Danio rerio: one gene and its partners. The protein of the gene in region 2 binds, or shares a complex with, the protein of the main gene of each other region. Links are inferred from orthologs where the notes say so. Each region holds a gene or a part of one and is shown on either strand. Other genes may lie near its edges.

Region 1 (4,149 bases), on a different chromosome or scaffold from region 2:
ATAAAAAGTAAAAACAAAAGTAATGATGATGATAATAATAACAATAATAATAATAATGAAACTTTTACAAATTTATAAAATTATTAAAAATAAAAAGTAAATGCAAAAGTAATGATAATAATAATAATAATAATAATAATAATGAAATAAAAAAATATATTGTGTGAAATTATAAAAAAACAAGAATGATAATGAAAGTTAATATATATATTTTAGGAAATTATTAAAATAAAAAAGGAAATACAACAATAATAATAATAATGAAAGTTTAAAAAATATTTTATTAAATTATTAAAAAACAATAATAATGATGATGATAATAATGGAAGTTTAAATATATATTTTAGGAAAGTATTAAAAATAAAAAGGAAATACAACAACAACAATAATAATAATAATAAAGTTTTGAAAATAATTTTATATTTTTTTTTCAAATAAAAGGCAAATACAGTAATAATAATAATAATCATGAACGTTTTAAAAAATAATTTTATGAAACTATTAAAAATAAAAAAGTAACTACTAATTATTTTGCTAAAATAATAAAAAAATCGTAGATAAATGTTAAAATTGAAATGTTGCCATGGCAACAAAATAATAATAATAACAATAGTAATAATAAATAACAACAACAATAATAAAAGTTGAAGTATTACAATTAAAACTACAAAATGTAAACAAGCTAAACACAAAAGAAGAGCATATACTATTATAAAAATTAAATGTTAAATGATATAAACGTCTAAAATTCTGAAAACAATACAAACAGATGATGCACAACATTTTGGATCCAATTCGAATGTTGACTATTTATCCTCTACTTGACAAAAGTCTTGTCGTCTATAGTTGATCATTTGGTATCAGAAGTGTCATAAGAAAAGCAAAAGCCTCTAGATGACGCTTATTTCACTACAATAAAATATGATCCTGCCTTGATTATGAATGATTTCATTAGGACAGTAAGGTCTGACTTTGCTCAGACAAAAGTCTCATCACTGAACAGAAATAATGTCCAGTATAGAATATAAAGTCCTGCTGCAGTGGAGACAGAATGAATATTGTGTCTGACTCCATCATGAGCTTGGAGGACTGCATCCATACATCTCTGACATGACTCAAATCACTGATTAATAAAGTCATCTGGAATGAAGAAGAAAGCGTTCCTGCAGGACTCCCAGAGCTCATCAAGACTCTTTGTGTTCATCTTCAACGCCTCCTCCTTCATCTACCCCAGACATGCTCAATAATGTTCATGTCTGGTGACTGGGCTGGCCAATCCTGGAGCACCTTGACCTTCTTTGCTTTCAGGAGCTTTGATGTGGAGGCTGAAGTATGAGGAGCGCTATCCTGCTGGAGAATTTGCCCTCTACTGTGGTTTGTAATGTGATGGGCAGCACAAATGTCTTGATAACTCAGGCTGTTGATGTTGATCATCCACTCTGCAGATCTCTCACACGCCCCCATACTGAATATAACCCAAACCATGACTTTTCCTTCACCAAATTTGAGCTGGGCTCCATGCAGGTTCCAGTAGTTCTTTCTCTAGTATTAGTGATGATTGGGATGCAGCTCAACAGATAATTCATCCGGAAAATCCACCTTATGCCACTTTTATAAATGATCAACTAGAAGTCAAGTTATTATTAGTTGCTCTTACTGTACAACTGGAATCAACGACAAGACTTTTGTCAGGTAGTGTAAATAATGATATATTTATTGATACATTTGCATATATGTATAGTCAACATTCGAGGTGGATCAATAATGTTTTTCAAAATTTTCCTAAGACAAGAACTATTTCTAATACTTTATAAAGGAATTTTGACATTTTTAACGAATTTATAAGTTAAAAAAATCATTATTTAGGGGTGGCGTGGTGGCGCAGTGGATAGCACGATCGCCTCACAGCAAGAGAGTCGCTGGTTCCAGCCTCGGCTTGGCCATATGGCATATGTGTTTGGAGTTTGCATGTTTGGAGTTTGCATCCGGGTGCTTCCCCCACAGTCCAACCATATGCACTATAGGTGAATTGGAAAGGCTAAACTGTCTGTAGTGTATGTGTGTGAATGGGAGTGCATGCGTTTTTCCCAGTGATGGGTTGCAGCTGGAAGGGCATCTGCTGCATAAAACATGGATAAGTTGGCGGTTCATTCCGCTGTGGCGACCCCTGATTAATAAAGGGACTAAGCCGTAAAGAAAATGAATGAATCAATCAATGTTTAGGTTGTCTGTAGGATTTCACGGTGTTTTGTTGCCATCTAGTGTTCAGTTTTAAAAACGCACCTGAGCGCTGACGTGCCGCCACTCAACGGTTATCAAAAACGTGAATTAATTTAAATAATAAACACTATAACGTTTAAATAACAGCGGTTTTACTAACTTTAAATCAATCCTATGTTTTTATTATAGGCACTGGCACATTTAATAAAGCCAAAACAGAGTTTGACAATAACTGCCGGTACAATAATCGCATTAAATACAACCGCGCTCATTAATTTACGCTTTTAATATACAACGAGTCCACTCTATAGGCCTAGAGACCTCTGAAATATTACACAGCATCATATTTTAAATCACAGAAGTAAAATAATGAACGTAATTTAATATGTTCTGCAGTGTCCTTGTGTTTCCTGCTCAAAAATAAACGCTCCGCTTTATAATGGAACCAACTAAAGTTTCTGTAGGTGTGTATTTAAGGCTGAATTGAGCGCGATTGTGATTATTATGTGTGTTTTAGCAGGACTGCGGTGACGAAGGAGAACTGTGCGCCTCTGCTGAAGTTTGTATCTCTCACCTTGTACATTTTCTCCAGCCTTCAGGATTCTTCTTCTTCGCTTCTGAGCGGCTGCGGTCAGACGGTAATGCGCATGCGCCACCTACAGTTCATGTGGGGTAAGTCTAGAAGGGATACAGTTGAGGATAAGCACATCAATACAGCATAATTTTTGAGACTATTATTATTTTTACATTACTGTGGAGGTTAGATTAAGGGTTAAAGTCGGGGTAGACGTCAATAAACTATAGGTAACACTTTACAATAACAGTACATGGATAATGATGTATTAATATGTAAAATAAACATTACTTTATTATGAATTAATGATGAGTTAAGGTATGCACTAATCATGAATTAACTTTAACTACAACATGATTCACATGAGTTCATGTGTGAATAATGGCTATCTTAATTACTTGTTAGTTCATGATTGTTTGTTAATTAATGTATTAATTACCACATTAGTTTATGCTTAATTCAACCATGATGAACTCATGATATGTTAATGTATAATTATGTTGTGACTTTACTTGGAGGGGCACATCATCATTAACAGATTCTTAACTACTCATGAAGTCCTTATGCACGTCAAACTAGTGAGTTTACACTGAATAACAATAGAAAAGTGTTCTGTCAACATCAACAGGAGATCATGAGTAGTTAAGGATGAGTTAATAGTGATGTGCCCCTCCAAGTAAAGCCATGACATAACTATACAATAACAGCTCATGAGTTCATGTGGGTTACATTTAACCTAAACTTAAATGTTAATTAATACATTAATTAACAACATGTACTAACAAGTAATTAAGGTAGCCGTTATTTACACATGAACTCATGTGAATCATGTTGTACTTAAAGTTAATTCATGATTAGTGCATACCTTAACTCATCATTAATTCATAATAAAGTAATGTTTAGTTTACATATGAATACATCATTATTCATGTACTGTTATTGTAAAGTGTTACCAAACTATAATTAATGGGTAATTTAATAAATAATATGAATAATTCTCTGTATAATGACTGTTTTAGGTTACTGTGATGGTTGGGATCAAGGTAGATGTTAATAAAGTATAATTAATGGGTAATTTAATAAATAATACTCTGTATAATTACTGTTTTTACATTACTTTGATGGTTGGGTTTATTATTAGGGTCGGGGTAGACGTTAATAAAGTGTAATTAATGGGTAATTTAATAAATAATATCAATAATACCCAGTATAGTTACTGTTTTTACATTATTGTGGAGGTTAGGTTTAGGATTGGGGTCGGTGTAGACCTTAATAAACTATAACTAATGTGTAATTTAATAAATAATATGAATAACACTCAGTATAATTACTGTTTTAGGGTACTGTGATGGTTG
Region 2 (3,568 bases):
CACACACACACACACACACACACACACAACCATGTTAAACCCAGCAGAAAATAGTCTAGCTACATTTGACATTTAATGTCATAAAATGTTATCACAGTGCTCTCTAAAACACTTGATTCTGATTGGTCAGTAACAACATTCCAAGGTATGTTATTCCCAGACAACAACCATTAACACTAATAACGAATTCTCAATCTGGTACTTTGAATCATCTTGACCGCCAGTGAATACATTTAGATCCAGATTTATATATATTGTCTGTCATTTTGCTGTTTTTGACTAGATGGTTCGGGGCTGAATAATACATAGGTTAGTTTGTGCTACAGATATATTTTTTTTTCTGTCAGCTTTGCATTTAATTGATAAATAATAAACTATTACACATCAGAACAATATTTTGTGTCTAATTTTTTTAATTTTGTGGCAAGTAGCCCTGTAAAAGCAGGATAAAGTACATTCAGGTGGTTGTATAAACCATTCAGGCTTATAAAACAGCCTTCTGCTTCACTTCAGGCAGCTTATTCTGCAATAACAATTAGCAGACACCATTTGTAAATGCTTCAAATGACTGTGTGAGTGTGTTCACCTCTGAGTCCATGGCTTCTCTGAGTTTGTCTGTGTGAGCAGCGATGGCGGTCAGCGCAGCCTCCTGAGCTCCGATGGCCTGCAGGGTGACTTTAGCTGAGCTGCCGAGAGTTTCTTCCAGTCCAGCAGTGAGAGCTGAGAAACACACCAACACTCACTTATATCAATATACTCTACCATTCAGGTTTAGGTTTGTTATTTTTTTTGAAGCCAAAACCTTTATACTTTAACATGCATTAATCGGTTTAAAATTGACAGAAAAGACTGTATATATCTATATTTCATTACAAAACAATTATTTACCAAATTAGAACCGTTTAATTTAATTACTTGTTAAAAGATTAGTTAACCCATAAATGAAAAGTCAGGTATTTTTCACAACATCATGTTGTTTCAATCCACCCCTAAGACCATTCTTCATATTCAAAGCAAAAACTGCAATATTTTAGATGAAATCCAAGACAGTACAAACAGAGTTGAACCACTGAAGTCAGATGGAATGTCCAATTCAACTTATTCTTTATGTATTAGCGGGCGCAGCCATTTGAAATTTTTGGCTTGTGAATTCCGATCTCATTCACTTCCATTCATATTTAGATGTTAAACACAGCTCGTTATGCTGCTTGATGTTGCAAACTGATATTGTCCTATTATATTATTCTGCTTTGTCTGTATAATCATGCAAACACCTGTTTTTTATTCTTAGTCATTTCTCCCATAGGCAACTGAATCTGAAGTTTTAAAAGTAAGGTCAATACGATTTTCACACAAAAAAAATGTATACAGCAAAAATTCATTGTTATTAATCTCATCAAAATAAAAGTTTATTATGACAATTTGTGTGTGTATGATGTTTATTCACTATGTATTTATAAATACACACATGCATGCACATGAGAAAATTTTCATTTAGTCTTTATATACATCTTATTGACCTTATTCTCCGCAGACGAGCGGGCGCTGCCATTTGAATCTTTTTGGCACGAGACTTCCGGTCTTATTCACTTCCATTCATTTTTAGACATTAAAAACTGCTTGTTTCGCTGTTTGATGTTGCAAACTGATATTTCCTTGTTAAATTATTCTACTTGGTCTGTATAGTCATGCAAACATTTGTTTGTAGAGCAAGTAGTTTGACCGTTTTTTGCCGTTTATTATTCCTTGTCATTTCTCCCATAGGCGACTGAAACGGAAGTTCTAAGACAATCACGAAAACAGGCGCACTTCCGCATTTTAGAATAAGGTCAATACACATCTTATGTCCAAACAAACATTTATTTTGAATGCGATTAATCACTAGTAATTTTTGCCCAGCACTAAAATAAATAAAAAATAGAGACTCATGCATGTGTCAGTGTGTAATTTGTGAGGATATTGACCTGCCAGCGCATCCAGCTCAGCTTTATCCTGTTGAGCCAGTCTAGCGGTCACTTCCTCCGCTGGCCTTTCCTTCACAGCCGGTTCAGGTTCAGTGCATTCCTTACAACACTCTTCAGCTACACACACAGACGAAAACAAAGCACAAAGAGTCACTCCAGCACATTGGTAATCATCACATTTTCTTTGAGCTTTGCAGTACACCATATGAGATGGGGGGGAAATGATAAAACTGGGTGATGTTAAACAATGTAGATGAAACTATTTAGTGTCTTCATCATGCATGCAATAAAGACATAAAACATGAATATAGTCAAATGATCTGTGAACAAATGGCTCAAATAATCAGATTTTTAAAAATAAATCAGCAAAAAAAGGGAAAAATAAACTCATGACATAAAGCAGACCCCCTACTTTTTCATTATTTTTTTGTAAAATTTTCTGCTCTAAATTTTTTGATTTTGTGGTGGTGATTCACAGAAATTTGTGGACAATTTTGCAAGTAAAAAAATATATACAAGTATAAAAAATGGTATCCATATTATTTACCATATTAGGTAGCCTACTATGTTAAGTGTGCTATATGACACAAATCATAAAAATAAAGCTTCTTTTTTGGTCTCTTGTCAAGACAAGATCTAAAACAGTAAGGATTAAGCCAAACAAAGGTTGCATAACTCTTATTTTTATCCACAATCTTACTTTTTCTCAGATTCCACTCCCTGGAGCATTTGACATCATGTACCTCACTCAGGACATGCATTATTATATCTTCCCCTACCGTAATACACCTAAAACACGGATTGCCATAAAACTAGTCAATGGCAAAAAATCGTTTTCGTTAACCTCCATCATTGTAAGCTGCTTGCTTGTAGGCATGAGCCGGTATAAATTTCTGACAGTATGATAACCTTGGATAAAAATATCACGGTTTCACGGTATCAATGTATTGTGATTTCTGCTCTAAAATAAGATCTTTTAAATGTCGGGGTAAAGAAAAAAAAACTTTTTTCCCCCTACTGAACACAATATATTTTATTTTAAGAAACATTTCAAATATTTTAGACCAGTATATTTTGATGTAGAGTTTATTTGATGTAGAGTTTTATTGATGTAGATGTTTTTCTGCTGGAGAAAAAAAACTTAATTGAAATAGTTGTGAAAAACATGTTTAAAAAGACCTTACATATACCATGGGAATAACGGATAACTTTCGTGATTTTAAAACCTTGACTTTTTGAAACTTGACTTATCTTCCCATGCCTACTTGCTTGTCTGTCTGTTCCACTGCTCCGTTTGTTAGATGTTTGCTCCAATTTTTTGCAGTCTGAAGCCCGTCAAATGCACAAAAAAGCCAATTCGCACCACAGAATGTCAAATGCCATCTTTGTATTGACTTCACATGTAAATCGCTCGCGCTTCATCTGCGCTGTTTACTGCACAGGTTGCAAAACATTTCCCCTCACTCTCATGTAATGTTAGGACTGTAAGGGTGCAGGTGAAATGTCATTTTTCGAAAGACACTAAAATACATTACATGCGCTGCGTATGCAATGTCTATAAATCATGTAAAACAATCAATTGCAAACTAAAATAAATATAATTT
Region 3 (4,052 bases), on a different chromosome or scaffold from region 2:
CATGAAAGCATACAAAAGCATGGACGCAGTCTACATACTTGATATATACAGTCTACATACATATGCAAACATTTGTTTGCAGAACAATTGATGTTCTGATAGCGATTCCTATGTAGGAGAATCACTTCCTGCCCTCCATCTGAGTCTAGCGCGTCAACAATGAAAACCATGAAACTGTGATTCATTTGTGTGTAAATGTTTCATCCTTAGTTTATGAAATGCTCTTTTTTTAAAATCTGAAATCGTGAGTTTTGTGTGAAGGTGTTGCGATGCATTTTAATACCATATGTAAACAGTCTTCTGTGCATCAAGACTATTTAATTACCCAAAAGACTTCCCCGCTATCTCTCTTTTTATTCAATAATGTCAGTGCTGCCATCTGCCATATACTGTAGCCTTACACTTCATCAAAAAGTCAAGTTCTACTTTCGTTATCAATCATACACTTAGTTTCATTTCTTTTCATACCTCGAAGCCAAAGTACTTCATCCACTCATCCACAGCAGGTGGTATGGCTGATTTAGCTCGGGCCAAGGCCACAGATCCCTCATTACTACCTCCAAGAAGTCCTGAATCATATGCCACATACAGGGCTCCTCCCGCAATGGTCACTTTTGTTGCAAACCTAAAACATAAAGAAACACAAATACAATGAGGTAAAGTTGGTTTTATATTTGCACATTCCTTTATTTAACTGTTTCTATTGCTTTCCATGCTAATTTGAATATTAGGTCAGAATTAGCATGGAAGTATGACTTCAAAACAACATTAGCACCATCAAATTTACTGTAAACAATGCTGTACTTTGATAATCATTGGCTGCTAAATTAAATCCATATCCATTTTTTAACTAAAAAAAAAAAAAAACAATTAAAATTCATTATTCTCATGTAGGCGGTGCTAAAATGTCCATTTTCCTCTGATTGGTCAACCAAATCTGAGCTTGTGACGTAGCCCCCAAAATAAGAGCCCTCTGAGGACAATACCCAGGCTTTGAATTATTAATATTTAGTTATATGTATATAATTATATAAACTAAGTTTACATATTCTGTCATTTGATCAGTTATCAGGCTTACATTCATTGCCTCTTTAACGCACACGATGTAAATCTCTGACAAGGTGCCTTTATTTAGCCTGTAGCCTATATAACAGTTTAGATTTGTTTTACAGATAATGTTCTATTACTTTAAATGTTCTTATTTATAGTTTATATAAAATCTTAATATATTATAGTTATTGATGTCATTCGTCTTATTCTTCAGTAGATCTGTAAATAATGTATTTTATAAAATGATCGTTTATAAGAACCAAGTTATTAATAAGTGTAATTCTCCAAATAAAAGTCTTGATTAGTCATGTCGTTTTAAAGATTTTCTACAATTTAAGCAGAAATAGGTTAAACAGAACTTAATTTGGCATAGTGCTCTCTGTGGGCATCACGTGCTAAAATGATTATTATTAATAATAACAATAATAATTATATTATTTAAGCCTACAGTAGCTCTGAAACAATCATGGAAACCAGGTGCTGCTCACAGATGTATATCTTTGCTCAGCATCAGGTGTACAGCAGCAATAAGTTTGGCAGTGAACTATAAACATAAATTATTATTAATAATAACATTATTATTATTATTACTGTCAAGGCCTTGCTCGGAAACAATCATGCAAACCAGGTGCTACTCGGAAATGGCTATCTTTGCTCAGCATCAGGTGCACAGCTTGACAGCGTGCACAGCAACAATGTTTGGCAGCGAACTATGACCTTATTTTATTGACAAAAGTCTAATAATACTGCTAATTTACGTTTTTATTTAATTTATGCATACGCAATGAATGTAAGCCTCATAACTGATCAAATGACAGAATATGTAAACTTTGTAATTATATAAATAGTATAGTTATTATTTATATACACACACACACATACATATACATATATATATATATATATATATATATATATATATATATATATATATATAAAATGATTAAAAGTTATTATTAAAATCATGTTTTTTTGTAATCAAAAGAAACACCGAAAAACGGCCGTTTTCTTAACTTTTTTTTTTTTTTTTGGACGCAAGATATCCTAATTCTGCTAGTATGATTTCCCCATTTAAAATTTGCAAAGATAATTATATTATCGAGGAGAATGTCTAAATATAAAACCAACTTTACCTCTATTATTTTGAAGGTTCTGTCTGAAATCATATGCAAGTATGACTCGAAAACAACATTAGCACTATTTATTTGACTGGAAACAACTTTACCTTCATCACAAATACAGCCATTCAAAGTACGTTAAAGCTGAAGGAAAGAGAGCATGTTTACAAGCTTCTCAGGTTATTATGACCCCAAATATATGATGATTACTTAAAATATATATGATTAACTCTAATACAAAACAGGATTTAACATTTTTACTGTCAAAGTTATTGCTGAATTGAGTAATTAGCATGCTAGCTATATTTAAACGACATTATAGGTAAAAATAGCAACTAAAATACGAGGTAATTTAATTTTAATGTAAATACAGATATATATATATAATATAATTATATAAAGTATAATAATGTATAAAGTATAAAAAAAACACTTAAACCCAAACAGACACTTGTGTGCTAACTTAGTTAGCAACCAGCTTCAGATACAAAAACAACACATAAACACTTACTTGACGACAGGGAAAATCTTAGCAGCCATATTTTAAAAGCAAAATTATGCTCTAAAGAACAATATTTCGTATCAAAACACTTCACAGGATGCTTTGTTTTACTATTTTGTCAGCGAGTTTCACCGACAAGGGCATTTGCTCTAGCAAACCGAAATGGTAGCAATAAAGTTCGTTTTGAATCCAGCTGTAGATCTGCACATTCGACAAAACGAACGACGAACATATAAAACGTAATAATTATATGTTTGAGTATTTTTGAACATATGAATATTCTATATATATAAGCATTAAAAGTAGAAGGGTGTTACTTTAAAAGACAATTCGGTTTTATATATTTGGTGAAAGTGCCGCCACGTTTTTCCTGTGGCTCAGATCGATTGACTAATTTTAAAATCACGTTTTTTTAGATTGTATGTGTAATATTAATTAAAAAAGAATCTTTAGCAGAGTCGCCAACGATAATAAAAGTAAGTTTAAAAAAGTAAAAAGTAAGCCTAAGTGAATAATAATTATGTTTTTATCCTTACTTTCGGTTTGTATTTCATAGTCTGTCAGGTCGTTCCGAATTTATAAACCCAACCACAATATTAACGTTATAATGCAAATAAAACAAGAATGACTGATTATTACAACACAATATTAACAGAAGTTACAAAATGCATTAAGTGCTAGCTGCCAAGTTATCTAAAGCCGGATTGTACTTTGGCACTAGCTCCGCCTGTCTGAACTTAGATTTAAAAACCTGTTCTGCCTGTTCTCTTGGTGTCGACTGCTGACTTTACAAAGTTGTGCATTTTGTAAGCTGTGCACAGATTTGCCATATTCCTTCAAATGAAGCTTTATGCCAAATTACTGCTTTGCAGCATATGCGTCGCGTTCATTGCGGTCCGATGGAGTGCTCCATCATTTAATGAGGGTGAGTTTAACAGCCTTTATGTTTATCTACGTGCTGTAAAATGTATTCTATTGTCTGTAAATTGATAAGTGATATGTCTTTACAGCTATTTAGAAAGTAGTCTATGCTACAAAGTGGTGGGAAAGCTTGTGGAAAGATTTGTGGACCCAAAAAACTAATATAGCCTATCTACACTCTCAGAAGGTAGGCCTCCAAAGGCTGTCACTGGGGTGGTACCTTTTCAAAAGGTACAAATTTGTGCTTAAATGTATATATTAATACCTTAAGGGTACACATTACTAAAAAGTACAAAAGTGTTCCTAATATAATATAATCTTTTTAGGTACCAATATGGAGCCTTTAAGTTAGAATCTGTACCTTTTGAAAAGGTACCACCCCAGTGACAGCATGCATACCTTTATTTCTGAGAGTGTAATAAATGTATTTATCTACGTGTTAACATTACGTGTTCACATTA

Evidence for each region. The genes of interacting proteins can lie anywhere in the genome.
Region 1: immt (region 2) and apooa share a complex: the UniProt entries of both Homo sapiens proteins name them as parts of the mitochondrial contact site and cristae organizing system (MICOS) complex. The link is inferred for Danio rerio from reciprocal best matches to the Homo sapiens genes IMMT and APOO.
Region 3: immt (region 2) and micos13 share a complex: the UniProt entries of both Homo sapiens proteins name them as parts of the mitochondrial contact site and cristae organizing system (MICOS) complex. The link is inferred for Danio rerio from reciprocal best matches to the Homo sapiens genes IMMT and MICOS13.

What each region holds. Positions count from the first base shown.
Region 1 is NC_133180.1:4,984,440-4,988,588, forward strand, and holds the start of apooa (apolipoprotein O, a), read right to left. Parts: upstream 2,856-4,149; 5' UTR 2,804-2,855; coding exon 2,795-2,803; exon of another isoform or gene 2,741-2,794; intron 1,693-2,740; exon of another isoform or gene 1,498-1,692; intron 1-1,497. UniProt on the Homo sapiens protein: Component of the MICOS complex, a large protein complex of the mitochondrial inner membrane that plays crucial roles in the maintenance of crista junctions, inner membrane architecture, and formation of contact sites to the outer membrane.
Region 2 is NC_133189.1:18,404,910-18,408,477, reverse strand, and holds part of immt (MICOS complex subunit MIC60), read right to left. Parts: intron 2,082-3,568; coding exon 1,965-2,081; intron 721-1,964; coding exon 587-720; intron 1-586. UniProt on the Homo sapiens protein: Component of the MICOS complex, a large protein complex of the mitochondrial inner membrane that plays crucial roles in the maintenance of crista junctions, inner membrane architecture, and formation of contact sites to the outer membrane.
Region 3 is NC_133197.1:19,398,423-19,402,474, forward strand, and holds the start of micos13 (MICOS complex subunit MIC13), read right to left. Parts: upstream 2,856-4,052; 5' UTR 2,709-2,855; coding exon 2,680-2,708; intron 626-2,679; coding exon 469-625; intron 1-468. Other genes in the region: hsd11b1la (hydroxysteroid 11-beta-dehydrogenase 1-like protein precursor), read left to right, coding at 3,511-3,595. UniProt on the Homo sapiens protein: Component of the MICOS complex, a large protein complex of the mitochondrial inner membrane that plays crucial roles in the maintenance of crista junctions, inner membrane architecture, and formation of contact sites to the outer membrane.